Linked DNA regions of Schizosaccharomyces pombe. Changing the gene in region 3 together with the main gene of any one other region gives a genetic interaction. Each region holds a gene or a part of one and is shown on either strand. Other genes may lie near its edges.

Region 1 (9,101 bases), 1.2 Mb from region 3:
ATACGTAAAGACATGGATATGAGAGTTTATGTGGAATTCTTAAGTGAACACAATCAGCTACTTGCGGATTTTGGTGCCACGGATGATAACGATTTCGACACCTACATTTTTCTGAAGATTTTCGATTATGAAACTCAGCAAATATCCGGTTTGGCCGACCTACATGTTTCAAAGAATAGCCCCATTTCTTCACTTTCAGAGTGGATTCGTGAACATTTAAAGTGGTCTTCTGATGTTCCTATCACATATTATGAAGAAATTAAAACCGGCATGGTTGATGTTTTGGATCCGAATGCTAGTTTTGAAAAATCCGAGATCCAAGTGGGAGACATTATATGTTTTGAGAAGAAATTGGTCCATGATTCTTCATCGGACACCTCTCACCCTTACAAATCAGCTCTTGACCTCTATGATTTCATGGCACATAGAGTAGTAATTACTTTTGAGCCTCGTTATTCCGATGATACCAACAATGGTGTTTTTGATTTGGTGCTTACAACGCATACCAATTATACTGATATGGCTCGAGCAGTGGCCAATAAACTTAATGTCGATCCTAATTATCTTCAGTTTACTATGGCACATCTACCTTCGCGCACTCCTCGTTCAGTAATTCGTAACCCTTCGAAATTTACCTTACAAAATGCGATACCATCAACCTACTCTCATAACCAAAATGTGGTTATGTTCTATGAAGTCTTGGACATTACGCTTAGTGAACTGGAGCGTAAGCAATTAATCCGGGTGCATTTCCTGTCGAATGGTATTTCGCATGAAACTCAGATGGAGTTTTATGTTGACAAGGAAGGAACTGTGGAAGACATTCTTCGACAGGTTACTCAAAAAGTACCTTTAAATGCTGAAGATGCTTCGAGACTTCGTCTTTATGAAGTTTACAATCACCGGATTTTGAAAAGTCATCTACCCACGGATGGAATATATGATCTAAATGAATTCTCCACTGCTTATGTTGAAGTCACGCCCAAAGAAGAACAAATGCAATTAAAGACTGATGATGCAGTGTCAATTGTAGTACAACACTTTTTCAAAGACTTATCACGGTTGCATGATATCCCATTTTATTTTGTCTTACTTCGTGGTGAGACTTTGAAAGACCTAAAAAAACGGCTGCAAAAACGATTGGGCTATAACGATACCCAGTTCTCGAAAGTCAAGCTTGCAGTTTTGCAGGCCCAGTCATTTGGAAAGCCTTATTATCTTACCGACGATGATGAAGTACTCTATGGAGAACTTGAACCACAGTCACATATCTTGGGACTCGATCATCCACCAGCTAATGGTAGTGCTCAATACCATGGTATGGACCAAGCAATAAGAATGAAATAATTGTTTATACATCACCTTTTTAAACCTCCAATTTGAATGTTAGCGGTGCCATTTACTAGAAGCCAAGCAATTTTGTTTCAATCAATAAATTGATATATTCTGGCAAATAGTAATGCATTCGCGTAATGACGTCTTTGTTTCAAAATTTGCGAAGCACGCTTCGCATTATATGATATCTTACTATTTACTTGTTGTTTTGCGTATGATTAAATAAAATCGATAATCGCCCGCTCTTTTATACTCAAATTTTTCCAAAATGTATTCTTTTATCTCTACAGTGATTCATATTGTAGCAGAATGTAATGTTTATTGTTAATAATTGTAATCGTAACATTTGATAAAATATTCACATGAAACCCATAGCCAAAACTCATTTAAATTGGTGTTTTATTAAGTTATCAACCCATGTTTGGTCCATCTTACATATAATAATAATCTTGATGATCTGTATTCCTTACACGCTTTCACTGGGCATTAGCTTTTATCACCACCTTCAATTTCTAATCCACCAAGCTTCTGCGCCGTTTTACAAGCAAAACCATAAAATGGGTGTAGATCTTTCTGATATTAATGATTCCCTTTTCAAATTATCTGATAAACTGTCAAATGATTTGGCGAAGCAGAGAAACCTATGTATCGTAAAAGAACCATCATTCTCAATAGAGGAGCATATCAAGTGTTTTACAACTTGCATAAATACCTACAAACCATTTAGTTGTCTAAAGCATGCTAATTGGGCTTTATTGCTGGCAAAAAAGAAATCCGATACCGGTTTAATTGGTTATTGTCAATCTCTAAGAGGGTAAATACGATTTCTAAATTCCTATAATTCTGTAATTTGCTGACTATGTTTTACAGGCTTGCGTATTACTTACTTGAGCAATATCAAAGTTCTGCCATATGTTTTGGATTTGCCCTAAAACATTTAAAAAAAGAAGATTTAACAAAATGGCAAGTTCAACTAGACAGCATGCTTACGATCGTTCACGAACAACAGAATCAGGACACCTCATCGCTCATTCCAGATGAATGTCCAAATATTCCGGAATTAGAAGCTGCCAAAATTGAAGGAGACGAAGAGTTCCTTAATATGAGCTTGAAGGCGCCGGAAGGCCAAATAGAAAAAAACGAAGAAAAACTTTCAAATAGAATTCGTTATGACTGGTCCCAAACGTCTTTTTCCCTAAATATCGACATATATGCGAAGAAAGTCAAAGATGAAGATGTGAGCTTATTAATGGAAAAGAACACTGTAAGGACTGTGCAAAGCTAAACCGTCCGGCTAACCATTTTAGTTGAAAATAGAAATTAAGCTTGAAGATGGATCAATATTCTCCTTGGTTTTAGATCCTCTGTATGAAGAAATTGTTCCTGAAAAATCGTCATTCAAATTATTTTCAAGTAAGGTTGAAATTACCTTAATTAAGAAAGTCAGCGAGATAAAATGGGAGGCCTTAGTTAAGAGTCCGGCGAACAATTCGGTGAACGTCTATGCTAAAGATTCAAACCATTCAAGTGCTTCTGGTAATACGAAAAATAAAGCGAAGGATTGGGATTCGCTAGCAAAGCTGGCAGATTTGGAAGAAGACGAACCTACTGGAGAAGCTGCTTTGGCTAACTTATTTCAAAATCTGTACAAGAACGCCGATGATGACACCCGAAGAGCTATGATGAAAAGCTATACAGAAAGTAACGGCACTGCTTTATCAACTAACTGGAAAGATGTGAAAAGCAAAACATTTGAAACAAAGCCTCCACAGGGAATGGAACCAAAAAAATTTTAACTCCGAATGAACTTTTTACATTTACAAGCTTGAAGAGAAGCTTAACAATTTATTTATAATTATATATCTAATTTGATGAACTATCAATTGAGATTTATGCGAAATAAACTCTTGTAAACATTTACGTTTAGAGTAGCAAATTAAAAGAGTATAAGAAACAGTATTATTAAGTTCTTTTGCAAAGGCCATATGCAAATAGAATTTGAAAAATTAAAAGATTAATTGATAAAACCTTTAGAATTAATTCCAAAAGTTGCCTTCCGGTGTGAGTTGTATAAATTGAGCAGAAATGTTAAAAAAACCTTCTATTCCATCTAATATGAAAACAACCAGTATTATGATTTAATGCAGTGAAAATGAAAAAAAATGAGATATCAAATATACGTGATTAGTTTAAAAGTCATTAGTATATCTTAGTAGTAGCTGGAAACTCCATTAAGCAGCAATTCCTTAAAAATGTTCTGATCTCTTCTTTGAATGTTTTTTATGCTCTTCCGAAATTTCATGCTCATAGGAAGACTTGCGAATTGTAACAAAGGGGTCATTCAAACTGTTTTTGTCAAATTTATCTTTTTCATCGAGCAACTCACTAGATGATTCAGTTGAACTTTGTTTTAACTTCGTCTCATCAGAATCATCGTTCGAATGTGACCCAGAATTCGAGTCATTATACAAATCCGAAGATATGGATAAGGGTCGCCTTCCTGGAATTGGTGCCAAGGGTCTTCCTTGAACGGATTGAACTGCACCATACGATATAGAACGCCTTTTCTCCAAAGCACTAGGAGAACGATAATTTCCAATAGTTGCAATTGAATTCCGTTTAAGTATGCGAATATTATCTGAGTTAGCGACATTACCAGGAGGTGTGACAAAGTCTGCAGCATTGGCTCCTAAATCGCTTGAGCGCCTGGTGTCATTATAAAAAGATTGCGACCGTTGAGGTATAGTCGAATTACGTGGTGAAGAAGCCCAAGGAGTTGAATGCATTTGATAACCACCACGATAGCCCATTTTTTCTTGCTCAGTATTTTTTCGTACAGCAGCAAGACGAGATTTTTCTTCTTCAAACTGCCTTTCAAACTCTTGCTGCTCAGCTAAGAACTTCTTCCTCTTAAAATGACGAAGGCAGTAGAATATTATCACTAAAACAATTAACCCACCTAACACACCAACAATGGGACCAGCAATTACGCCTGTATGGTTATGTTTTTGAGCACCATTTGGTAAAGAAGATGCACTTGCCGAGGGTGGAGTAGAAGCAGATGTTGGTTCGGGGTTTTGCGTTGAAATAACAGTTGAATAAAAACCACTGTAAGAAGGATCATCAGTTGCTTCGGGTCCAGCTGTGCTAGTAACAGTTACTACGTCGAGAACATGAGATGGTTTGATATATGAAAAGTCGGAAGAAAAAACTGGATAAGAGGAAGGAAGTTCGTCGCCAGGAACGGTTGAAGCCAAAGAATCATTGGAAATTGACATAATAGATGACAAACCAATCGTAAAAATGATAGAAATTAGAATGTAAATGAAACTTGAAATTAAAAATCCAATAAACTATAAAATTTTGAATTTCTCAAAGAAAAATTCGTTAATCCCAAAAATGTCAGAGTAAATTGTTGACGGAATTTCGCGACAACTGATAAATAAGAAATATTAAAATCTTCTTCCAGTAACCTCTAAGTACAAGAATGCAAAAAAAACCCAAAATGATTTAAAATACCTTGGTTAAAATGGTAATAAAAGAGTAGATGGCAACTATTGGAGAAGAATAAAGCTATAAAATGATAAAATATACAGTATGTTCAAAGCGTGCGAGTTAATTAGACATACAAAACTATATAGCCGTTGAAAAAACCTTGACTTGAATCATAAGCGTTAATGTAAATAGGAAATAGAAAATGTTTTAAACAAATCTTACAGTAATTAAAAACGAACGACTAGGGAGTAAGGATCAGAGGAGAAATATTAGAATTGTAAATTTAGGCCAATTGCTCATTGGTAAAGTCCACAAGAGAAAATTCAAAAGTGAGACGTCTTTCAACGGTACAAAAATCAAACAAAAGAAGCACCAAAAAGATCAAAATTGCGATCAAAATTAGTCTATATTGAAGAGTGTCGGTAGCGGTTGGAAGACGGATGAAACTCCGGGACAACACTTTCCGCTTCACTAAAGTTGGCTGGTAAGTATAGGAGACAGGCACTAAAGAGAAAGTCCCGTTCCTTTTATTCAGTACGTTATGGGTAATACTAATAATTGCGAGAGGTTGTACAATTCTCTTTTAGTTTTTAAGAAAACTGGTTCTTGGCCACAAATTCTACAGATTTCGTATTACACTTAAATGCGAATTGCACATGAATGCAAAATGTATTAATTGTATAATTCAAGCAATGATAATTTAGGCGCTTGTTATATGAATGTTATTATATTAACTAAATTTTAAAAAAAAAAAAGGAGTGGATGTCCAATCTTGTTTTGTAAAACAGATATTGCATTTAAGAAAGAATAAACCTTTTAATTTTCAGATAGATGATTTGAAAGCAGCCTATTCCATGGGGAGAAAGAAGCAAGCGATTAACATAGCGCATCATCATTTGTGCATTCACGATTTTTTGGGGAAATAGACGATTAAATTAATGGTATAAAAGTTGTAAACACACATGTTTGGAAAAAGCTTATAAGTCGTATTGGTCAAAAATATGACACACATTTTGTTTTAAAAACAACAAACATCTTTGAGCGTAGACATAGATAATGGTCAATCAACTTGAAGAAGTTTTTAATTAAAAGAACGAGAATAGAAGAGAGGGGATCAAAAATAGGTTAGAGGAGTAATATTACGAGAAACAGAAAACTAAAAGACGACTTATTGCAACATTTCGCAAGCCAACTGACGGAGAAAAGATTATTTCGTAACCGATAACTTTAAACTTTTGAAAAAAGAGAGAGGTTGAATCAAGAAACAAAGTCTATGCGGTCGCTTCAGAAGAACCAAACGGTCGCGTTTGGAATACAGACATGTTTATTTTTTCTAAAACACTTTCGAAGCCTTCTTTTCCACGGGAAGCTTTCTTTCCAAAACCATCAACCGACCATTGTTCGATCAGGTTTGACAACCGCTTCATACACGCTAAGGCTTCAATTCGAGCCTCCTGTTGAAAAACAGTAGCTTCCAGTTCAGGATGGGGTGAGTAAGTCACCGTCTCATCTACTCTCAAACGATCACTAAACGTCAAGTTTGAGGTTAAAAGTGTTAAAGTGCGCGCTTTCAAGTCAACATAGCTAGTTTCTCGAATATAACAATCTTGCGCACCGTCAATCAATTTTAAAATCCATCTAGGAAGGGCCTGGTGACACGTGATCAAGCGTTCCGTATACAATACACCATTATCCAAAACCTTGCGATCAAGAGTATCCACGGCTATCACATGAGTAGCATGCTCATTGGGATACTTCTGCCAGTGAGCCGCTGAAACTTGTTCAAAAGGATATTGAAATAAGTGGCAACTTTCAAAAATCTTCATTTAGGATACCTAAATTTTATGAAATTTTACGTGAACTAAGTAAAAAAAAAAGAATGAATGACCCTTTTAAATCAAAAAAGTTAGCTAACTTCTTTTAGCTATTAACTTTTGTCTCTCAAGAACTAAGAAAACCAAAAGTTTCTTTCTGGGCCGCTCGTAAGATTTTTCTTTAATTTTTTTCTGAGGTAAGATCTACTAACTGATGCACCTTTACTTTTCGAGTTTGTTTTAAATTGAAATCAGCCCGTAAGTAAAATATGCTTTTTTTGGGATCTTTAACTAATGTACAATTTCTTAGTGTATGGTTTTTTTTATGTACAGAGCAGTGGAGCGGAACTATTTTTATATGCGGTTTTCTGGTTGGCGGGACAAAGGAGCTCCAATAATTAACCATTTTTACTTAAACTATAGCCATAAGCGAATCAATGCATTTGGTGGAGGTGGGGTACGACAGAGGATATGCATCGCACTTTTTATAAGGTTGTAGTTTACGATGCACTATATATAATAACGCACCAAAGCGGAATAAGGCCTATATTATACTAATGGGTTTTTAAAAGTGTCATTTAATTATGTTTATGGATAAAAGATATATAGAAATTTATATAAAATATGTACTTTATGTATTAACAACACTATCTCTTATGAAGGAGTTGGATTTGGTTTCTAGCTGAAATAATTCTTATTTGTTTTAGTTTTTTTTTTTTTTAATACGGTGATAATGCACAAGACTCATTGTTTTATTATGCTTGAGAAAATTATAGCATTTGCTACATCAAACACTAACTAGCCCGTAGAAGCGTATACGTAAAAGATAACAGAACTCTAGAATTTCAATCAAACCCAACTGGGCCTTAGATCGTCAAAATGCCGGGAGGAGATCTATCGTTGAGCAGTGCTATGAGAAACTATCAAAAATTTCGCAATCAAAAAGAAAGGGGGGAAATAAAAGATCAAAACATGCTGTGTCACGAGAATTCAAAATAGTATGCCTTTTAGCTTTCATGTTTTCTCTTTTCGTTTGCTTCGGTATGTAACGCAAAGAAGAATAAAGGAGCATGCTCAGCATTTTATAACTCAAGTAGGAAGAAAATATCAATTTTTTATTTCTTTAATGTACACTTACACGACTACAAAAATTGAGTCATGTACGTTATTTATAATAAACCTTGGGCCTTTAAATCGTTGTAAACCTTTTCAGACATCACATTACCTTCGTCATCTTCCATTTCATTGAGAGACGCCATTGTGGTTTCCCGCTTCTTTGAGTCCACCTTGTACTTTTGCCAAACTAAAAATTTTCGTTAGTAACATAAACTCACCAAATACAATCATTTTTTTCTTACGTTGCAAAGCTTCATCAATAGAAGTAATCTGATTGAATAAAGGTGAAGGTGATATTCCTAAACATTTTAACCCGTATATGTGCCTTTGTTCAGTAAAGTGTTTATCAAATGCCTTTCTACCCATATACACGTAATTTCCACAAATTTCACAGGGAAACTCTTTACCAAGGCCATGGAGTTTCCAAAGCCAGAATGGAATAGGTTTACCATCCCATCCCAATGGCAGCTTCAAAGGGTTATATATCTTTTCCTCATCATCCTGATCACTTTCCTCATCCTGATTTCCCTCAACACTTACGCTTGGAGTCGATTGTTCAAAGGCTTCTCTTTCCGCAGCCTCTACTTCTGCCAAACGTTCTGCAGCCGTCAAAGTTTGTCGACGAACAACATTTTCACGAGTATCCTTTCGAACATCGTCAAGCAAAGACGTTAACTTTTTTATTAAAAACTCGATACGGGCAATCGCTTTAGGTCCTTTTTGCTTCTCGTTCGTATTACTTGTGGTAGATGGACTAGAAGACTGCATCCTCTTAACGGCCTTATTATGTGCTTTGCTCTTTTTGTGAGCTTCAAATACAGTGATCTTCCCAAAAAACTTTTGACAAACTTCACAATAAAATGCTTCCGTCGAGTCTTTCCCATCTTTTTCGGCTTCAGCGTTGTGTGAATACCAACCAGGAAGTCCAGCTTCCCATGCTGCGTCGAATTCAGTATCAAAAACCGCAATAATCTTATCCAAGTTTGACAGAGGGTGTGTCCGGCGATAAAAGGACACCAAGTATTCGTATAAATGAGTTATATAGTTGATATATGTTTGATTTTTTTCAGGCTTGGGGATTTGATCAAAATCCTCCAAATTTTTCAAATATTCTAAGTAAGAAATATGCTGTACATTGCTTAAGTTTATATATTCTTCGTAACATTCGTTAAGATCCATAAATCGACCATACATCTCTTCACCTCGAAATAACGTGTCAATCTCGTCAATCCCGGGTTGAGAAGGCTTTATGGAATATAATTGACTCAGATCCTCAACTTTATGATCAGGATATTTTTTGTGAAACTCTTGGATCTCTCCCAGCGATTTATAAAACTCTGT
Region 2 (11,615 bases), 590 kb from region 3:
ACACAGCTTTACTAGAAGCTACTCTTTGCTTATCTCCGGGGACAGGCATTGCGAATACTGACAATGGTGCATATGATATTTATATGATTGGCGATGAAGATCCTGATGTAGATGCTGCTGTGTATAGGGGTGATCAGCAAGATGACAGTATTTTGCTTTCTTTGCCAGCCGCTTGGAATGTTTTTTCTTTGGTTTATAGAGATGAAGGTGTCCTTCAATTTGTCAAATATGTGTCGCGTCAAGCCGAATCTAGTCGCTGGGATATATATTCACAATGGAATCCCGTTGCTGAGTAAAGGCAACATATACTTAAAAGGGGTTACTTAATTTTTTTTTCTCTAATTTTTTGTCTTATTTTTGAAAGTTTTTCCCTTGTGTTTTTTAAAACCCACTTTCGTGTTGATAGTGTGTATTACATAAAAAGTTTTGGTTTACACTTTTACTGCTTTCTTAACTGGTATTCTTGTTGATTTAAAGTAAGTGTTCAATCGAACCTGTTTAAAAATCGTTCTTTTTTATTAAAAAGTCCGTAAATTTACAAATATCTAAAGTAAATTCGAATACCAATTTAAACATTAATTTTAAGATAAATAATAGATCCAATATGTTACAGTCATCATTTTTGTCGTAATCATAACACATTTATGGCAAGATGTAATAGTTCCTGCGGAGTTTTCCGAGAATTTTTGATATCTTTAGTAATACTGGGCCAAAAATAACCATGATGAGGATCAGCGGTTTCAAAACTTGTAAGCACTTCTTTCTGTTGGTCTTCGTTCCCAGCCTCTAAGCTATACTTATAAAACCAACACCACACATCTCCGTTATCTTGGTCAGCCTTAACAGCTTTTAAAAACCAACTACGCGCCTTATCTGCTTTTTTTTCCAGCCACAGCATCCTGGCGATGGTGCAAAGTAAATGTGCATTGCCTTCACATTTCCTTAAAGCATCTGTAGCACGAGTTTTACGCTGTGCGCGAGGTTCAAGCCATATAGCCTCCGTCCACAGCAAACCCGAAGATGGGCATTCCTGCAAGGCCTTAGCAAGGGCTGCACGAACTTGTGAAATATTCCCCGCCCGGAGTTCCATTTTTATAAGTTCAAGCCATAAAAATTCATTCTTAGGATTTTTAACCTTAGCCCTATCAAACACAACTCTCGCGCGTATAACGGACTGCTTTTCTTCAAGTTTGGCTAGCAAAAGCCACAAAGGTATGGAATAAGGACAAACTTTTGTGCCAGCCAAGTATGCGTCTCGAGCAAGCTCAATCTGCTCTTTATCTTCAAAAATTTGACCCTTCATCATGTACAACTTATCATAATGGGGATAAATTTTCAGTGCATTTTCCAAAAGTTGTAACGCCCGATCTTTTTCGTCCAAAATTCGTTCAAGCGAAATGGATTTAGTCCATATTCGTTCAGTTCCCGATTCGATACGAGCACGGGCAAGTAGCTTTCTGGCACGTTCATTTTCATTGTTCACAAATTCAATTCTGACAGCAGCAAGCCATATCTCTTCGCTATTAGAATTATATTCAAAAGCTCTCCCAAGAATATTCCGAGCACCAGCAATATCATTAACGTTTTTTCGCTCTTTAGCATAAAGCAACCATAAAATTTCGGCTTTAGGACATGATTCTACAGCTTTTTCTAAAATAGAACAAACACTTTCTGTTGTACCATACAGCTTTTCAAGTTCAACAGCTCTCAGCCAAAGTTTCTCACTTTTTGGATAGACTCTTAAAGAAAAAGCAAAAACAGCACGCGCACAATCTATACATTTACGAGCTATAAAAGATTGAGCATCATCTAACCAGGTGTCGAATTGATCTTCTTCATCCAATCCAACACCGAGGCACGTATTAATTATAGCTTGTGCAGTAATCACTGCCCCTTCAGTTTCGCATTTTTCAGCCTCGGAAAGCCACTGATCGCGTTGTAACATACCACCAGTAGCCTGTAACTCACTTACACCACGAGCCATTATTTTTTCCACCCGTGATACATTACCTTGCTGTTCTTCCAAACGAGCAGCAGCAATCCAAACCTCATGGGAAGTACGGATGGTTTGTCTGGCTTTATTGAGCACCTTTTTAGCATTCTCATAAGTTTCAAGTCGAGCAAGAGCTAACCATAAATCAATGGACATGGGTATTAATTCAACGGCACGAGCTAATAGTATCCTTGCATTATCCACTTCTTCTTCTAAATTTACAGCTTCTTTCCATAAGCTTACAGAAGTCGGGTTAAATTCTAAAGCTTTTTTTATAATCCTTTTTTTGTGCTGAGCTTGATTTTCAAGTTTTTCGGCTTCAAGCCATAACGTCACTGACTTTGGTAATTTTTTAACGGCATTTGCAATAATAACTTTTGCTTCTGCAGCCGGGTGTAGTCGTATTGCTTCTAGCCAAACATCCTCAGAGCGAGAACAATTTTCGCAACCTTTTAAAATTAAAGATTGTGCTTGAGATAATTTATTCGCGACCTCTTCAAGCCGCGCAGCAGCTACCCAGCCAGAGGCGTGCTTTGGATTCGTTTCAATAACACTTTGCAACAATTTTCTAGCTTTTCTTATATCACCCAGGTCATTGGCATTTTTTGGAACCATACTATTCAGACTAGTTAAATACCCCTTCGGATCTATAGTCGATGGTGAAGTCAAATTCGACGAAGCTTGTGCTAACTTGATACCTAAAACTTTGTCACGAGCAGCTCCAATTTCAACAAAATTTGTTTTTGTCCCATTCATATCTGGAGTTTCTGTTCCTGCTTGAGTATCCACTGCAAAATTAGAGATAGCTTGATTTTCATTGCGAGCACTTGCAAGAACAAAATCACTTGTTGCATAAAATCTTTCACGTCTCGGCTGTTTAGTCCTTTTTTTACGAGTTAGATCGCCGGGTTCTGGGATATTATTCCAGTCTTCATCTGTCAAAGTGGATAACCCACGTTTTAAGTCCGCAAATTGTGAAGAAACCTTGGGGTTTTCTTTTTCATATTTTTCTTTCTGTAGCTGTTCTTGTTTTTCACGTTGGGATTTTCTTCTTTTACTTAAATGTTCCTCTACAGATTGATATATTTTATCAGCTTCTTCGTCCTCATGATCATATGGAGCAGTAGCAAACAGCGCTACTTCATTGTCAGGATCCTGATAACGAGGATCGATATCTTCTTCTTCCTCTATTTCTGATTTCCTTTGTTCAATTGCAGCCTTTATAGATTCTTGGGATGGCAATTCTTGAGCAGGCCCAAGATCTGAACGCGTTGTAAATCCTGTTGCACCACGTCCTAAACCTGCTACATAGTTAGGAGGTGGCTGCATATTCAGAAAATCTGGATAAAAGTTTGCCATTCTAATTATCTGCAATTAAATGCAATAAGCCGAGCCTTTCGGCTTTATAAATATCTGGTAGTGGCTTTCAAATTTTAAAAGTAGGCAATACGAAGAAGAGAAATTAACTCCTAGCAGCTTTACTACAACAAAGTTAAAAAGAGCCATTAGGTAAAAGTAAATTTAGAAAAACTTAAGATAGAATATTTCTTAAACAAAATAAATTTCCTACTGTATGTAATGATTTTACAATCAAACGATATATAAATAAGCATTGTGATTGACTTGTTATACACTGAACCGCTAACACACGAGTATTTATGATTTAGCATTTGATAGCCAAATAAATTTATTAGATTTTTTGCAACAATTTTGAAAAAATGCATGAACAGTGTTTTCTTCCTTTCTTTTATTTTCCTACTTTTCTTTGAAGATGAATTTACACTTTGTAAATCAATGTCGTGTAAAGTATGCAGAACGGTTGAAATTACGAAAAATATTGTTCATCACAAGCTTTGTGAGTATTGGAATTAAACAAATCTTAATTGAATCCGAGTGATAACTGGACAGACGTTGCAGCAATATTTTTGCATGGCCACTACGTTTGTCTTTTAATGTCTCGGTATATTATACTGGTGTTTCAAATCAATGCTCATCGTATCTAGTATGAGTGTACCTGGACACATCAGTCAAATTTATTTTCGCTTGTAAATTGTCTTATTCTTTATCATAATGCCAAACCATTGTATTTAGAATTTTATTTGCAAAGTAATTTACCAAAACATATTTAACATCTTAAATAGACATGCTTGAGCTACGTTGATTAAGTGTTTTGATTATAACTGCAGGTTGTGCAAGGCTAATGTAATATCTTTTAGAAGTATATTCGTTGGATTGATAAGTTCTAAGAAATTTATACTGACTCCAGCCATAAGATGCAAGCAAGTCAGTTTCACAAAAAAGAATAAAAGATTCAGATATGTTAGATTAGAATCATCTGCAAAACACTGATATCAAAATATGATAATAATCGGCAATATATATGGCTCGTTTCATTTTTAACTTAGCTTTTCCAGGTTAATTTTGGGTATTAAAATTGTTCTATTTTATTCCATTTATAAATATAGGCATGAATTATGTATGTAGTGTGTAAATAAATTTGGTTTAAAGAAAATACGGCAGCTAATCTAGCTGTATCTTTTTCTCTTTTTTTTTTTTTTTTTTTAATATTATAAATTTCAGGAGTACCTGTGTAAATGATAATGATATATTCAGAATGATATTTTAATAAATACAGCGTATATTAACCATCTGTTTACAACTTGAGTGAGTATAGTAGAATCTGATGTGTGGATTTTCACTTATCATAAAAAAAATTCAAGAAATATTAATTAACTATTGTTATTTTAAGACTGTGTAAATAAGCTGTTTCTACAAATCTCCTGCTTGATAACATTATATATGCCAATGTTATTTACGCTGTCCACTGTTGCGTTAATACATGGATACAGCAATGAGTATTCTATTCGAATATTCAATATAAAAATGCAAGCTTACAGGAAATGATACAAATGTTGTTTTAATAAGCAATATCTAATCAGCAGTATAGGTAGACTCGACAGCATACATCTGCACTCGGAAGTCTAAATATGGTAATAGTTCATGCACAGTATTCTTGGTTTTTAATTTATTTACACAATAAAAAGAATAACCCCAGGATGTTCAATTATTGGACCTCTGGAGTTCTACAAACAAGGAAAATTGAGTTATAATGATATTACTCGTTGCAGTACTGTAACGTACTGCAATTTAGTTTATAATTAAACGAATTAATAAGAGTTTGGTATGCAGGATTAGGAGTATTAATTAAGCCCTCTGTAAAACATGATGGTATTTTAGTTGTAGCGATACGTTAATCAACAAGATGCACGTATATTATTAACTAATGTTAATATTCTGCCTACCTCATGTCCATCCATCCATAAACACCTATAGCAACCCATGTCGTGTCCGCACCTCACAGAGACAAACGTTGTAATCCCAGATAATTCTCAGGTAATATATCGTGAAGAATGCGTCCGTTGCTTTAATTCGCAGGTATGTTTTTTAAATAGCTTGTTTTAAAACATGTACTCAGAGGAGTTCAAATTCGTTAACAAACGTTAGGATGAAGAAGGTGGAATTGATTTATGCTTAACCTGTTTTCAATCTGGATGTGGGGAAACTGGGTTAAAACACTCACTTGTCCATTTTGAACAAACTTTGCACCCAATTGTGGTCACCATTGCCAGGCAACCTAAGCAAAAAATTAATGATGAGCCTCCCCAAAAAATTACGAAACTTGAGATCAGAGAAGATAGTGATGAAGATTTATATGATTATTTTTATGTCCCTAAGTGTTTGGTCTGTAATATAATATTAGATATACAGGATCCCTTACTTTCGTTATCATTAGAGGCAATGAAAAATGCTACCAAGGCATCAAACAAAAGTCAATTAACTGCATGGGAAAATGAATTAACTACTTGTGATCATATAATAAATTTACCAGAAAATGAAACTTACGTCACAAATTTGGACAATGCTACATGTTCAAAATGTGATCTTGCAGAAAATCTATGGATGTGTTTAACATGTGGCGCATTAAGCTGTGGAAGAAAACAGTACGGAGGAGGTGGTGGGAATGGGCACGCCCTTTCTCATTATGATGATACAGGACATCCGCTTGCAGTTAAACTCAAAAGCATTTCACCTGATGGTCAGGCTGATATATATTGTTATAGTTGCGATGAGGAAAGAATTGACCCAAATATAAAGACACATATGCTAAATTTCGGCATCGATATCGCCAAGTTGAACAAAACTGAAAAATCTTTGGCTGAACTACAATTAGAGCAAAATTTAAATTGGGATTTTGGTGCCTCCGAAGAGGATGACGCTTCAAAAAGATTGTTTGGACCAGGATTAACTGGTCTTAAAAATCTTGGTAATAGCTGTTATCTGGCCTCAACTATGCAGTCGTTGTTTTCTATTAAGGAATTTGCTATTCACGAATTAAACCTTTTCAACACTTATAATTCTGTTTGTCAAACCCCCACTACAGATTTGCAATGTCAACTTGGTAAACTAGCTGATGGTTTAGTAAGTGGGAAATTTTCTAAACCTAGCAAAATTGGTTTACTCAATAATCCTTCTTCATCGATTCTTCCTTACCAAGATGGTTTGAGGCCTTTTATGTTCAAAGATGTTGTGGGACAAGGGCATTCTGAATTTGGAACTTCTCAACAGCAAGATGCTTATGAGTTTTTATTGTATTTGCTGGGGAAAATACGGAAATCTAGTATTGCGAAAACTGACATTACTAAGATTTTTGACTTTGAAACGGAGCAAAAATTATCTTGTCTTTCCTGTAAACGCGTTCGCTATTCTTCTTTCTCTTCTCAGGGATTGACTTTGACAGTTCCGCGTGTTAAAATTGGTGAAATTGAGGGTGAGCAAATTTATGAAGAAGTCTCAATAGACCAATGTTTAGATGCAACTATACAACCAGACCAAATGGAGTATACTTGTGAAGCTTGTAAAAGTAAACTAGGAGCTACAACTACTACTGCCATGAAGTCGTTCCCGAAAGTCTTGATCCTACAAGCCAACCGGTTTGATTTACAGGGATATCAAGTTAAGAAATTAAGCATCCCTATAATAGTTAATGAAGACGGAATTTATAATTTCGATCGCTTAATGGCTAAGGACCACCCAAATGACGAAGATTATCTTCCTGAAAAGACAGAGACCATTGAATGGAACCAAAGTGCTATTGAACAGCTTCAAGCTATGGGATTTCCTTTAGTCAGATGCCAACGAGCATTACTCGCTACTGGAAATTCTGATACTGAAACTGCCATGAACTGGCTATTTGAACATATGGAGGACCCTGAAATTGACAAACCTATTGAAGTTTCTGAATTACTGCCCAAAGCAGACTCAAGTGTTTCAGAAGAAAATGTTCAATCATTATGTGAATTCGGCTTTACTGTTGCACAAGCACGAAAAGGATTGCTTGAATCTAACAATAATATTGAGCGCGCAGTTGATTGGATTTTAAATCATCCGGATGAAAGTTTTGAAGAACCACCACTTGAAGGATCAGATTCTTCAATAAAAAATGAAAATATGGGTAGTTGGGAATCGACAAACGTTCCAGTCAACTACAATTTAAAGGCCATAATAAGCCATAAGGGCTCAAGTGCGCATGCCGGTCATTATGTAGCATTTATACGCAAAGAGATAGATGGAAAGCAGCAATGGGTTTTGTTTAATGATGAAAAGGTGCTTCAAGTTGCCTCCTTGGAAGAAGCAAAAACTACCGGATATGTCTATCTTTTTGAAAGGCTAGATTGACATTAATTTATATCATTTTTTTTTTTTTAATAGCAATCATCGGAGCGTCTTATTGAATTTTGGGTTGAGCAGAATTTGGTAGCATACAACAACTAAATTTTTTTAACATTACATTATCAAAGAGACCCGGATTTAAGTCTTTCTTTACAAAATAGACCAACCATTCAGTTTGGCTTTAAAAACTCCTTTGACGCAAAAGTCGTTTTACAGTCATCACTCCCCGAATATTTGAAATAAATAAAAAATATCCTTAATAGCATTTTGAGTTACCTTCTGTGAACGAATTTCGTATTTTAAATTTTGAAAGAGTAGTTTTGATTGTAAGTATCCACGCACCATTCCAATTAAATGCTATATCGTCTCCACGGTCAAGAGTTTCAAAATATGTAAATTTGACCCTAAATACATAAGAGAGCTGACATTCATTTTATTTGAAAATATATCTGAAACCCAATTGTAAGCTACGCAGTTTGGTATCTGATTTAAGGATACGTAGAACTGCGGTGAGTTTTCCTTGTGATCTATTATATTACAATACACAGGTTGTATAAGTAGCAACTGAGTATAGGTATTGTATTAACTGGGTTATAATGTTACCTATCACTAATATAGCTCATAACTGAACTGAGGAACGAGGTTCAGCAGTAGCTCTATTTATAGTATTCAGATAATATTGATCTTAATAGATTATCATTAAGATCAATCTCCATATCGTATCATACATGGTACGATATATAATTAGAACATGTGACATATAGTGATACGCAACGTAGTGTAGTATTGCTGACACCAATGTAATTATAGCATATTTGCAATATTCAATATATTCTGTAATAACGCAGGTGTAAATTGGACTTGCCCTAAATAATTTCTAATTTAACGAAATTTAAAGCACAGTGATAAACAGTTCACGGCTTCAACATGTAATGACATCTATAATTTACTACACTACTTACTGTGTATACCCAGCAGTATATAGTAACTGTGTAGCAAACTAACGTTGTAGCAACGTTCAGAAATGTTTGTTGGAAAGGCATTGCAGTTTCAGTCATTCCATTCCTCCATTGATGCTACGTTTTGGCATCAATTGAGCAATTACAAAGTCGAAAAGCAAAAATTAGACGCGTCACCTTTAACTATTCATGGTAAATTTAATACATATTCAAGAGGAAATATATCAATTGTATTTGGAGAAGCGCCATCAAACAGGTAATGAGTGTACAATAATGCTTCATCTAATCTGTCCCTAGTAATATCAAAGACTGTTTAGCCGAGGGTACACTGTTAAATGCCAATACTCCTCAAGAATTTACTAACGCTGACGTGAAAAAAATTCGAGAGGAAATTGGTGAAGTTGTAAGTAGATTGATACAAAAGCTCATTAACATTATGTATAGTTATTAAATTCAATTAAAAACGGAGTTGTTTCTGAAAGGCCTAATGAATTACTTAGATTTCTTATATTTTCTTACGCCGACATAAAAGCTTACAAATACCATTATTGGTGCTTATTTCCTTCGTTTAAAGAAACTCCTCACTGGATTGTAAAAGACTTATCACCAGCTGAATCGCTAATACCTTCAGGTCCAATTTTATCTCAAATTCGTGAATTCTTGTCTACAGCTGATTACTATCAACGCCCTTTTTTCTTATTAATAAAATCAACATTAGATGAATGGACTATTGCACCTCTGAAGGAGCTTTCCCACTGTGTGGACAAGTCGCTTCAGGTATGCCATCGATTTTTAATCCAACTAACACGTAGTTTTATCTCGTTGCAGAAGATTCTGTTCAATTGGCAGAATATCCATCTTGGCCAGTCAGGAATATCCTCGCTTTTGCATTTATTAAGTTTAAATTGAAAGTGATTAATTTATTTCTATATCGCGATGGGATTAATTCTGATACGCTGTCGAAAAGCATACTAATAAAAGTTGAAGCAGATAAGGATATGATTCTTGAAGCACCCCTTTCAATCGTTGGATGGGAAAGAAATGGAAAAGGCGTTTTAGGTCCCCGGGTCGTTAATTTGTCTACGGTCCTTGATCCTTTTGTATTGTCTGAATCTGCTTCAACGTTAAACCTAAGCTTGATGAGATGGAGACTAGTGCCGCAATTAGATCTCGATCGTATTCAAAACTCAAAATGTTTACTTCTGGGGGCCGGTACTCTGGGTTGTGGAGTGGCAAGGAATTTGCTGGTAATGAAATTGAAATAAAATATTTATATGAAGCAAACGACCAAATTGCTAACGTTCTAGTCGTGGGGGGTGAGACATGTTACATTTGTGGATTACTCTACTGTCTCCTACTCAAATCCTGTCCGCCAGTCATTGTTTACATTTGAAGATTGCAAACGAAAGTTGCCAAAGGCAGAGTGTGCGGCGCAACGGCTTAAGGAGATATACCCGAATATGGTACAAAAAATTATTATGAATGCAAGCTAACAAAGAAGTTTTCAACGGGATATAACATCAGCATACCAATGCTTGGACACCCTATATATGAAGCTGGCATTGAGAAAACTATGCATGATTACGAAACTCTTGAGAACCTTATTTCCACTCACGATGCGATATTCTTGTTGACCGATACAAGGGAATCACGTTGGCTTCCGACAGTCATATCAACTGCCATGGACAAGTTGTTGATCAATTCAGCATTAGGATTTGACAGCTGGCTGGTCATGAGACATGGTAGTGTTTTACAAAAAGAGAATCGCTTAGGTTGTTATTTTTGTAATGACATATTTGCGCCTTCAAACTCACTAGTTGACCGTACACTTGATCAGACCTGCACAGTAACACGATCAGGATGTGCTAACATTGCTACAGCAATAGCAGTAGAGTTATTTGTTAGCTTGCTGCAGCACCCCAATGGGTACGGAAATTTTTTTTAGAATTATTAATTATCAATTTTAGACATGCTGCACCTGTCTTAAATGAAGATCAAACTGTGTTAGGTGAACTTCCCCATCAAATTCGAGGGTTCTTGCATAATTTTAGCCTAATGAAAATTTCAGGGATGGCTTATCCTCAGTGTTCAGCTTGCAGTGAATGTATTATAAATGAATGGAACAGAGAGAAATGGATGTTTGTTTTACGAGCCATTAATGAACCGGACTATGTTGAAGAATTATGTGGATTAAGAGAAGTACAAGCATTAGGTGAAATTGCTGGCACAATGGAAGAATGGATTAGTGATAAAGAAAGTGTGATTCTTTAATGGCGTGTGTTATGGACCAGTATACTAATGAATTAAACTATGTTTGGAAAAATCGATAATTGAAAAATCTATGAAGTGTTAGACAAAATCTATTTAATTTATTTTTTCATTGTAAATCCTTTCTTCAATTCATTTATCTCATCATTTCTTTTTTTTAACGGACTTATTGAGCGTCGTAATGTACTTTTAGTAGGTTGTATTGTCTCTAATAGAAAGCTAGATTCGCTATCTTCTTCTGTAAATTCACAGTTAGAAACAGTATCCTTCAACTTTCTTTTTTTTCTGATTGGAATCTTAGAAGGACTCAATGATGATGGGGATTGTGGTATTTTTAAGTGATCATTATGATTAATATCACTTACATTTGAAGGGATGGTATCGTCTAAGTGTTTTTTAAGATAACGAGCATTGGATGGGCTTACGGTCATGGAGTGGGGATACTTGTCACGCGAAAAAGGCTGTGAGGACTGAGCTGATGGCGATGATTGAGGCGGACTAGAAGATAGCCCTATAGAAGTAGAAGTTTTTTGAAGAAAAGGGGTAACGCTCAAGGGGGATCCTGAAGTTGCATTTGGTTGTCGAGTACCCATAATTGCCTGTTTCGAAGGGGAAAAAAGTTTTGGGGACGAAACACGAGGAGAAACAAGTAAACTCTTTCTCTC
Region 3 (10,504 bases):
TCTCCTTGAGTATTTTATCACCACTGCAAAGTACTCGTACTAAATTTGTAAGTTTTTTATTATTGAACGACAAAATAGTAACTACCACATCGTGAATAAAATGAGTTATATTACTGACTAACTCTCGTTTCGAAATGCCATGAAAATTTCGTTATCACAGCAGTATGGCTTTATCGATCATACAAGCTTATAACAGCTTCTAAATACTTAATTATATAACAATTGGGTTAATTTAGTTTTCTTAACCAACAAAAACACTCGAGAACTTATTACCGGACAACTAACTACGGGTATTATCACTGACAGTCTGTAAAAACTCCATACATACTTCTCCTACATTGACTTAGCTACTTTAGACTTGATAAGAGATATAACATATGTCAACGCGTCATTGATTAACTACATAACACGCCAATTATAAACTTCTCCCAAAAGAACTTAAGAATTTCCATTTTCAATCCAGATGAATTTATCTAGAGACGAACAGTAGCGGCAGCAGCCTTAGCACGCTTAGCGAGCAAAGCTTGGGTCTTACCACCCATGATACCACCACCCCACTTACGACGGCTTTCGTCGTACTTAGCAGAGAAGTTAGCATCAACGGCGGAGACAATAGAAGCGAGTTCGTTCTTGTCTTCCTCACGGACCTCAGTGACAGCTAAAACAGCAGCAGTCTTTTGGTGAATGACAGTACCAAGGCGGGCCTTGTTCTTGACAATGGCATAAGGAACACCCATCTTCTTGCACAAAGCAGGCAAGAAAACGACGAGTTCAATGGGGTCGACATCGCTGGCAATGAGAACCAACTTAGCCTTCTTGGCCTCAATGAGAGCTACAACATGGTTCAAACCATATTTAACATTGTAAGGCTTCTTAGAGACGTCTTGAGCAGACTTGCCGTTGGCAACAGCCTCGGCTTCAGCAACCAAACGTTGCTTCTTTTCAGCAGCAGTCTCAGGACGGTACTTGTTAAGCAACTTGAAGACCTGAGTAGCAGTGTTTTTGTCCAAAGTCTTCTGGAACTGAGCAATGGCAGGAGGAACCTTCAAACGCAAGTTCAAAATCTTGCGACGGCGTTGAAGGCGGATATACTCAGGCCACTTAACAAAACGGCTCAAGTCACGCTTAGGTTGGATGTCTTGTCCAATACCAAAGGAACGGGGACGGCTCACGAACAAAGGGTTCTTAGTAGTTTTTGCAGCCTTAGGCTGAGCAAAAGGTGAGGGTGCGACCTTTTTAGACTTGGGTGCCTACATTTATGTTAGATAGACTGGTTTTTATCAATTTATCGACTATTTCAATCGATTGTCACTTACCATTTTTGGTGGTTGTTCAAGTTAGAAGTTTCTTTCCACGACGGTTTTTTGGATACTGTGTGACTGTTTAGCAAACCCTACCCTAGGACGGTGTTTCAAACGTCGTACCCAAAACAACATCATGGCGAAAAAATATAACGATAGTTAGTGAAATACATGCAATTGTAGCAAAGGATTATGGATGTGGAAAATTGGAATATTTGAGTCTTTCATATACTTTTTATGTTTTTACTTTATTCTTTACAAATAAATACGATTAGTCTTAAGTTAATTTAGCACAAAGATTTAAAGTCTCACGCAAAAAAAAGTTTTCACACCTGAAAATCTGAAAACTTCAATTTCCATAAATATTAAGCTATCAAATACAAACAGAGTAATGATTTTGAAGAGCTGAGATCGAAAGAATTCTCGAGTTACTAGATTTCAAAAAATTTGGGATGCCAGCTCGAGTTATCCTATTAGGCTTGTATCCCACGGTCAATTCAGATCATTAATAGTAATAGTTAACTTTCCAGATACTCTACGGAGAGTTGAATTTATACTTTGATCTAACAAACAAAAATCAAGTTAATTAATAGATAAGTCAATTGAAAGCTCACCAGGCGAAATGTCTTATCTTGCCGCAAAGAAAAATATATATATAGTATACAGGATAAAACTTTTTTTCAAAAATTCAGATTTAGCTGATGTTTTTTAAGTTGTTTCAAGCAAGGTTTCATCTCTTGCTGATGCCAATAATTATACTCTTAAGTTCGAGTGTAACTGATAAAAAAAAATCAATCTTTGTAGTATAGGAGTTTCAAAAAACGTTTACATTCTTCAAACCAAAAAAAGCTAAAGGGCGCATTATCATAGAAAAAGTTTTTTCTAAATTAGCTCCGCAATCAGCATAGAGGAAATATGAAAACAATATACCGCACTTTCAAGAACTCAATAATAAAACGTACCTGAATTACAATTGCTCGACCTTTCTCCGAGAAAGTTACTTTGATAGGATCAGAGAGAAGATTAGCTTATAAGAAGATAGGTATCAACATCCGATCAATTTAATATCGGAGATCTGAACAACTTGTCTCATCATTTCCTTCTCCTGGTCGACTTTATGGAACTAAAGGGTTACAATTGCCATTCGTTTATTGATCGATAGTAAGCTTTCTTGATATCATTAAATAGGTTTTATAGTTATTTATCACCAAGTGTACATGTATTTCTAAAGTCATCCACTATGATTTAATCCAACGCCAATACAGATAAGTTTTAGTCTTTCAGTTATTTGAAGTTTCGATTCATAGGATTTTGAAATACAAGTTCAGCTGGCAATAGGAAACAGGTTAATTGCAATTAACAGAATATTACGAAATGTTGATAAAAATTCTAAATGCCGATATTGGTAGATGGGAAATTTGGTACCTGATATGTAGCAGAGTGACTTCATTTGCTCACTGATACAAAGCACTTGGCACGAGCAAACCACACTATAGGATGCTCTTATTTTAATAATTGGTGTCTAATAGTGCTTTTAAATACTTATAGAACATCTTCTCAATTCATATTATAATTCTTTCTTTTCCAATCTTGCATAGTTTTTAATCAACTGAGCAACGTGCATTGAAGATTTATTTCTTTGACGATAAAGCCCATACTTGGAGTATTTAAAACAAAGGTGTTGGAATTGGACAATATTTTAATCTATTTCGTCTTTTATTTTTTTTCGTAGTAACTTCTTTATACATAATGAATATCGACGAATGGCAGCGGATTGAAGAAACGGCGCCTGGAAATAAATGCTTAGCTAAGCTTAATGAATTGGAAAGTATATTAAAGGATGCAAAGAAATCTTGCCTAAAAGATCCTACTACATCTATGAAGGAATTGGTAGCATGCTCTGAAAAAACACAACAAGTTTTTGATGATCTGAAACGTACCGAGAAGAAGTTTCACACGTCTTTAAATCGATTCGGTAAAACTCTTGAGAAAAAATTTAACTTTGACTTAGAAGATATCAAGCTTCATTCATCGTTTGAAAGTAAAAAGCGTGAAATTGATACTGCTTTATCATTGCATTTTTTTCGACAAGGCGATGTTGAGTTAGCCCATTTATTTTGCAAAGAAGCTGGAATTGAAGAGCCCTCCGAAAGTCTTCACGTTTTTACGCTTCTCAAATCTATCGTTCAAGGGATTCGAGATAAAGATTTAAAGTTGCCCATCGAATGGGCCTCTCAGTGTCGTGGTTATTTAGAAAGAAAGGGAAGCAGCTTAGAATATACGCTTCAGAAATATCGACTTGTTTCTAACTATCTCACTACTAAGGATATTATGGCTGCGATACGATATTGCCGCACAAATATGGCCGAGTTTCAAAAGAAACATTTAGCGGGTAAGTTTAAATGATCATAAATATATTTAGGGAATTTTTGGTTTTTTTAACTTATATAAGATATCCAAAAGACAATGATAGCTTTGTTCTTTTGTTCCAGGAATGAGGTCCTTTCGGGTACAAATGACTCGCATGATTCCATCCATCATATAATATCAAACAACGCACAACTGAATATTCCCCAAGAGTATATTGATGTACTTGATCTTGATTGGAAATCCCTTGAACTTTTATTTGTTCGAGAGTTCTGCGCTGCATTGGGTATGTCCTTGGAATCCCCGTTGGATATAGTAGTAAATGCTGGGGCCATTGCTCTACCTATTCTGTTAAAGATGTCCAGTATAATGAAGAAAAAGCATACAGAATGGACTTCACAAGGGGAACTTCCGGTTGAAATTTTTTTACCCAGCAGCTATCATTTCCATAGTGTTTTCACTTGTCCTGTTAGCAAAGAACAGGCTACGGAGGAAAACCCTCCTATGATGATGTCTTGCGGTCATGTTATTGTCAAAGAAAGTCTTCGACAATTATCTCGAAATGGCTCTCAACGATTCAAATGTCCCTACTGTCCTAATGAAAATGTTGCTGCAGACGCTATTCGTGTCTACTTTTAAAAGGAATTTAAGATAATGATTTTATTTCAACTAAATTAAGAGTATTATAAATGCCACCAAAAGACTGTTTCCTAACCAAGCAAGGATTTCGCTATGCCAACGAGAATCCTAATTTGCGAAAGTGGTTTCAAAATAATGACTTAAAAAATTGATGGAAGTATTTATGAAGCTAAAAATTACTGTTTTTATCTTTGATGATTCACCTACTCTCCCTACTTGAGATCTCTTTTGAGTCAGAAAATCTGACGCATTGTAACCTGGTTACCTAAAGGTGATTTATGATTGTTACTTGGGGCGATGTGAATCTTTCGTTTGCCAAACAGAAAAGTAGTTAGAGTTTTAGGGGTATTTGACTTACAAATGGCTCTTTTACCATTTTTTGATCTTACGAACTTTGAGAGTGATGCTTCTGAAGAGTTAGGATGGCTTAAGTACGTCGGCAGAGTGCAAACAAGAGTGTTTCCTCAGCATTTCAAAGATAATCTCGAAAAAGTTCGCAAAATTTCGGAAACGATTGATGTGATCGTTGACACGACTGCTGAACTTGGACCAGAGGCCTGCGTCAACCTTTTGAACGCTGGTGCACTCGCCATACTGGTTAATGAAGAAATGCTAAACGAGTTGGCAGACATCTCTCCGAATCGTTTGGTTTTGAAGACAGACACTACTGATATTGGAAAAATTGAAAAACTTTCACAAGTTGCTGGTTCTATTCAATGGATCGGCAGTGCTGAGAATTATCCCCCTGACTTTTTTGAAAGAGCCAGCAAGATCATTCACAAAGCTGTAATGCCTGAGGGTGGAGGCCGAACTTTATATTTGGAGTTCCCCGAACAACCATCTATGGAGGTACTGAAATCTTTTTCTGTTCACTCTGTCGTTCCCGTTCTGTCAAGTTCTTTCTTGACAGTGAAGCCTGCCGAAGAGCCCAAGAAGTTATCATTAGCTGATCTCATTTTGATATCTGCCAATACTGATCGTGAGGATGGACTATTTTCTACTTTAGTCGTCAATGAGCTCGGTATTGCACTTGGTCTCGTGTATTCTAGCAAGGAAAGCGTTGCTGAGTCTTTGAAGACTGGCACTGGAGTTTATCAATCCCGCAAACGTGGCTTGTGGTACAAGGGCGCATCTTCTGGTGCTGTTCAACACTTAATTCATATTGACGTCGATTGTGATGAAGACTGCTTGCGCTTTGTCGTCTATCAAACCGGTAAAGGTTTTTGTCATCTTGACACCTTGCATTGCTTTGGACAAGCTTCAGGACTTTGTCAGTTAGAAAAGACTTTAATCGATAGGAAGAATAATGCTCCTGAGGGATCTTATACTGCTCGTTTGTTCTCCGACCCAAAGTTATTGCGTGCAAAAATTATGGAGGAAGCTGAAGAGTTGTGTGATGCTACCACCAAAGAGAATGTTATTTGGGAAATGGCTGATTTGATGTACTTTGCCATAACCCGCTGCGTCGGTTCGGGTGTTAGCCTTAATGACATTAGTCGTCATCTTGATTTGAAACATCGTAAAGTTACAAGAAGAAAGGGAGATGCTAAAGTTGCATGGCAAGAGAAACTTAAAGACAAAGGAGGAGTGGCAAACACGTCTTATACTGCCTGAATTTTTTAAATTTCTACTCTTCATTCGCAGATGATAGCAGTCGGTCTAAGGTGTAGTCTACTAAAACCTTGCTAATGCGGAAATTTTTACTTTGTGTAATTATTTAATAATGAAAAAAAATTCATATTTGCTGTTTGTACTAATATTATTTGTTTTATATTGTTTAATTTGAGCGCTGGATAGATAATAACTCAGACTTCATTAGCCACTGGCTGGTATTTGTTGCTCGACTTATTCCTACCAAATATCGACCTTGTCGCTGTGTATACCTTCTGTAATACACTAGAATTAGTTGAACTCTCTGTTTCAACATCATCTGCTTCACTGAATATAAGGCTCTTAGGCTTTTTCCATCTCCTGAGAAGTAAGCTACTTGCAAGAACACTAAGAGAAGAAAACATCATAGCAGCACTAGCCCACATAGGATTTAAGTAGATTCCCCATGGAAGGAAGAAGCCCATTGCAATAGGAATCATGACAAAGTTATATATGCAAGCCCACACAAGGTTCATTTTAATTCTTTTAACGATAACTCTAGACAAATCAAAGGATACTGCGGTATCAAGTAGAACGCCTTTACGTACAAGTATTACATCTGCACTTTCTAAAGCAATGCCTGATCCATTAATGGGAGCAATGCCAACATCAGCCAACACAAGTGAAGGCGAATCATTTATACCATCACCTACCATAGCGACACAATGCTTCTGATCTTTTAACTTCTGAATAATTTCAGCCTTTTGAGAGGGAACTGCTTCCGCGTAAACATCAGAGAAATCGATTTCTAGTCCTTGGGCAACGCGTCGGGCAGTGGCTTTTTGATCACCCGTCAATAAACAAACCTTTTTACCTAATTGTTTTAAAGCGGATACAGTTTGGTACGAGTCGGGCCGCACTTGGTCCATACAGCCCAAGAAACCTACAAACTGGCCATCGATAGCGATACGAACACAAGTAAGCCCACTACTAGAAGAAAGCTTCAGCTTTGAATCAAAGTCATCAGGTATCGACACGTTGTTATGTTCCAGTAACAGTGAATTCCCAAGCAAAGCATGAAAAGTCCGCTCTTTCCACCTAAGTACAACATCAACACCTTCACCTGGCACAGCATTGAATGATTCAATTCCAATTTCAGAAACATCGGTAAATTCTGAAGCTTTCTCAGTAATAGCTTTTCCAATTGGATGTTCACTTGAAGACTCTGAAGCTTTAACAAAAGCCCAAAAAATATTCTTAGGAATGTCAAGTAATTCCTCCAAATTATCTACAATGCTTATGTCGGTGACACTTAGCTTACCCACTGTAAGTGTGCCTGTCTTATCAAAGACAACAGTGTCAACCTGATTTAGACGCTCTAAAATTTCACCACCTTTGATGATGATACCGTTCAGAGCACCAACACCGGTTCCAACCATAACGGCTGTAGGGGTACTTAACCCCAGTGCGCATGGGCAGGCGACAACGACGACACTAATTGTCAATTTTAGGCAAACTGCAAACTTTCCCATTGGATCATCAAACACCGATGGGTATTTTGAAGAATATTTAGTGAATAAAAACCAAAATGTAAAAGTTGAAATTGAAAGAGCAACAATTACTGGAACAAAAATTCCAGCAACGCGATCGGCAAATTGTTGGATAGGAGCATGTGAGATTTGAGCCCTCTGAACAAGATCAACAATCACAGCTAACTGTGATTCTCTAGGTGATTTTGTTGCTTTTACAAGCAGTCGTCCATTCCCGTTAGCTGTTCCGCTCAAAAGTTCATCGTCAATTGTTTTATGCACTGGAACGGGTTCTCCAGAAACAGAACTTTCATCGACGTAGGAAGAGCCTTCAACAACCGTACCGTCTACAGGGATTATTTCGCCAGGCTTGACTAGAATGAGGTCTCCACGCTCGATGAGATCAGCTAAGATCTCAATTTGTTCATTGTCTTCTATTATCGTTGCACTGGAAGGAGCAAGGCTCAACAGTTGAGAAAGAGCAGCTGATGTAGAACCTTTAGCTTTACTTTCCAAATAACGACCTAACGTAACAAACGTCAATAGCATATCAGCGGTATCAAAAAATATAGGAGCAGGATTATCAGCATGTCTAGCGCTGTAGAGAATCATGAAAAAGATACTGGCAGCGAAGGCTACAGTGGAGCCCAAAGATACTAAAACATCCATATTGGCTGTTCCTCTTTTCAGTGCATGATATGCGGCAGAATAGTAGACCCTTCCAACACCAAACTGGACGGGAAGGGATAATACTAGGCTGATGATGTGGCCAGCACATATACCAAAATAATGGGGGACCAAAAAAGCAGCACGCATGGAATCACAAGAATCGAATATCTGGGGTAAAAACATCACCGCCAAAGAGAATGATATTGAAATAATAAATCGGATTTTCCATACTCTAATTTGACTCCCTCGTTGAAGTGACAGAATACGAGAGGTGGAGGAATCTACTGGTTGAAATGTACATTTGACACCCATAGATAATATTTCCTTCATGATGGAACGAGGGCCAGTAATCTCAGAATCATAAATGACACGTATAGCTGCATCCGGGGAGGAAGAGCAATTGACGGACAAAACGCCTTGCAGTTCATTGATATGATTATGTACTTTGGTCCATTGTTCCGCCTGCATAGGAGAAAGTAATAAATAATTAGCCATGACACCATGTTCACCCTCTGTTGAAGAAATCACAGACGCATCAAATCCACAATCTTCAATTTTCTCAGCGATCTGATCCGGTGAGATAATGCTAGGATCATGAACGGCAATAGCACGCTCAAGAAGCAACGATATAGTGAATTGTTCAATTCCTTCCACTCCTTCCAACATGGATTGGATAGAGGCCACACAACTGGTGCATGTCATACCCTGGACTGAAAGTGTAGTAGTATACATTTTAAGAAACTAAACAAAATTTTTAAAGGCAATCTAAATTATAAAAAGAAATAACGAAAAAGAAATAGTACAAGCCAATTAGAGATTAAATAAGGAAAATTAAGAGAAGCGAGTTACTGTATAGAAACGATAAATGTTGGAAATGTCGAAATAAATAGATAATAGTAAGGAACCCAAATCAAAGACAAGAGACGTAAAAAAAAAAAGAAACCCCCTCAAGTGAAGAAATAATCAAAATTTGACGATTAAAACCAATTACTTAATGTAAGTCAACAGCAAAAAGAGACAAGCCGATGATCAACAAAAGAAAATCAACATACAAAACTTTGGAAGGAAAAGAAAAATAACAAAAACGATACCAATGTTAAACAAAGCCAGCTAATAAAGTCTTTTTACACGCTTAGCAGTTAGCTGTTTTAGGTTGGGATACCACGAATTCAGAATTCGAATTCGCTTATTGTATCGTGATTTTCACCACAAAACGATTTAGAAAAAAATACAAAACAAAACGAATTCAACTTCAACAGACTACAGAAGAAGAGCAAATTATCAGCTGAACTTGTTAACAAAGTGTTAGTGAGTGTGTGGTAGATTACAAAAAGCACATGATGGCAGCGATATAAAACCGCAAAAACTCGCGCAAACTACGAAATATACAACTTGTAAAAATAATATTCAAATTGACATAATTATGTTTTAAATTCGAGGAGAATAAAAATCTTTGACAATAATCGATCGAAGCAGAGTACGACTTTTGGAACCGAGACGCATGCACAGTGCAAGCATATGATTCCACTCCCAATTGCTTAACAATGTGTAAAGACACTTCGGTAAAGCAAAATACAACAGTATGGCTAAGAACGTTATGTAAATATCGAAAATTGTAACGCAACATTCGATAAATGAGATTAAAACGGTAAACGTTAGAGCATGTCTTCTAATACCTTATCAAAGAATAAGGGAACGAAGCGTACATGGGTAAATTGTTGACCCATTCTAAACGATAAATAATAAATGGGACACCCAATAAAATAATTCAATGGATTTTGTCTTGGAAGAATTATTAATTCAAGTCGACATAAGGACCTTAACAAGAGCTGCCACAAACTTGAATAGTCTTCTAACCACTCCCACTAGAAAAATTATCGTTGAAGGTAAACATAAACATACTGTGCAAGCGCTAAACAGATTTACACAGATAAATTGAGAGGATCAATCAAGCCAGAAATCAAGAAAAGAGCAAAGATCAACTGCAGAATATCAATTGGCAGTTTTGGGGTTTGAACTGGTAAGTTTCAAGCCCAAAACTTACTAGATGACGGATTAAGGAGAATAAAAAAGAAAAAGGAAAGGAATAATCATTATGAAAAAATAAGTGGGGTTATATGGGTTTGCATGGAAAGAAGCTTAAGATTTCCAAAGCTTTTTAATACCCTCCGTAAGGCCAATATCATTCGTGTTGAACTCATAGACGCCAATAAGTGTAAGAACAGTACATCCACGTAAGATCCAGTGCATCAAAGGAGATAACTTCTTAAATCTTCTTGCAGGGAAGTAGTCAATCACACAAGATTCAAACCCCAAGTGGGCATGCGTAATCAAGGTGCAAGCCAATGCAGCGTCCATTAAGGGATGAGAAGTTCCGGTGAACAAAGGGATCATGACTTGAGGAACCAT

The links.
Region 1: of his7 (region 3) and git7, changing one enhances a phenotype caused by changing the other (phenotypic enhancement), as found in Schizosaccharomyces pombe (one study listed by BioGRID).
Region 2: of his7 (region 3) and atg7, changing one enhances a phenotype caused by changing the other (phenotypic enhancement), as found in Schizosaccharomyces pombe (one study listed by BioGRID).

What each region holds. Positions count from the first base shown.
Region 1 is NC_003423.3:858,786-867,886, reverse strand, and holds git7 (SGT1-like protein Git7), read left to right. Parts: upstream 1-1,857; 5' UTR 1,858-1,892; coding exon 1,893-2,149; exon of another isoform or gene 2,150-2,205; coding exon 2,206-2,599; exon of another isoform or gene 2,600-2,642; coding exon 2,643-3,131; 3' UTR 3,132-3,232; downstream 3,233-9,101. Other genes in the region: ubiquitin hydrolase Ubp15, read left to right, coding at 1-1,347; SPOM_SPBC36.11 (uncharacterized protein), read right to left, coding at 3,582-4,613; phosphatidic acid transfer protein Ups2, read right to left, coding at 6,102-6,656; U2 snRNP-associated protein sap61, read right to left, coding at 7,814-7,947, 8,003-9,101. UniProt on the Schizosaccharomyces pombe protein: Involved in cyclic AMP (cAMP) pathway, possibly by participating in the assembly or the conformational activation of specific multiprotein complexes.
Region 2 is NC_003423.3:2,633,727-2,645,341, reverse strand, and holds atg7 (E1 Atg8 and Atg12 E1 activating enzyme Atg7), read left to right. Parts: upstream 1-8,733; 5' UTR 8,734-8,747; coding exon 8,748-8,938; intron 8,939-8,979; coding exon 8,980-9,085; intron 9,086-9,126; coding exon 9,127-9,459; exon of another isoform or gene 9,460-9,494; coding exon 9,495-9,929; exon of another isoform or gene 9,930-9,989; coding exon 9,990-10,145; exon of another isoform or gene 10,146-10,183; coding exon 10,184-10,608; exon of another isoform or gene 10,609-10,649; coding exon 10,650-10,953; 3' UTR 10,954-11,051; downstream 11,052-11,615. Other genes in the region: ofd1 (2-oxoglutarate and Fe(2+) dioxygenase domain-containing protein 1), read left to right, coding at 1-296; U4/U6 x U5 tri-snRNP complex subunit Prp1, read right to left, coding at 632-3,352; ubiquitin hydrolase Ubp14, read left to right, coding at 5,333-5,428, 5,498-7,729; microtubule-site clamp monopolin complex subunit Mde4, read right to left, coding at 11,052-11,615. UniProt on the Schizosaccharomyces pombe protein: E1-like activating enzyme involved in the 2 ubiquitin-like systems required for cytoplasm to vacuole transport (Cvt) and autophagy. Activates atg12 for its conjugation with atg5 and atg8 for its conjugation with phosphatidylethanolamine.
Region 3 is NC_003423.3:2,036,310-2,046,813, reverse strand, and holds his7 (phosphoribosyl-AMP cyclohydrolase/phosphoribosyl-ATP pyrophosphohydrolase His7), read left to right. Parts: upstream 1-4,621; 5' UTR 4,622-4,667; coding exon 4,668-5,921; 3' UTR 5,922-6,081; downstream 6,082-10,504. Other genes in the region: rpl8 (60S ribosomal protein eL8), read right to left, coding at 474-1,250, 1,317-1,319; gid2 (ubiquitin-protein ligase E3), read left to right, coding at 3,051-3,693, 3,754-4,307; Cu(2+) transporting ATPase Ccc2, read right to left, coding at 6,113-8,827; SPOM_SPBC29A3.21 (uncharacterized protein), read right to left, coding at 9,420-9,722; TIM22 inner membrane protein import complex and succinate dehydrogenase (SDH) anchor subunit Tim18, read right to left, coding at 10,235-10,504.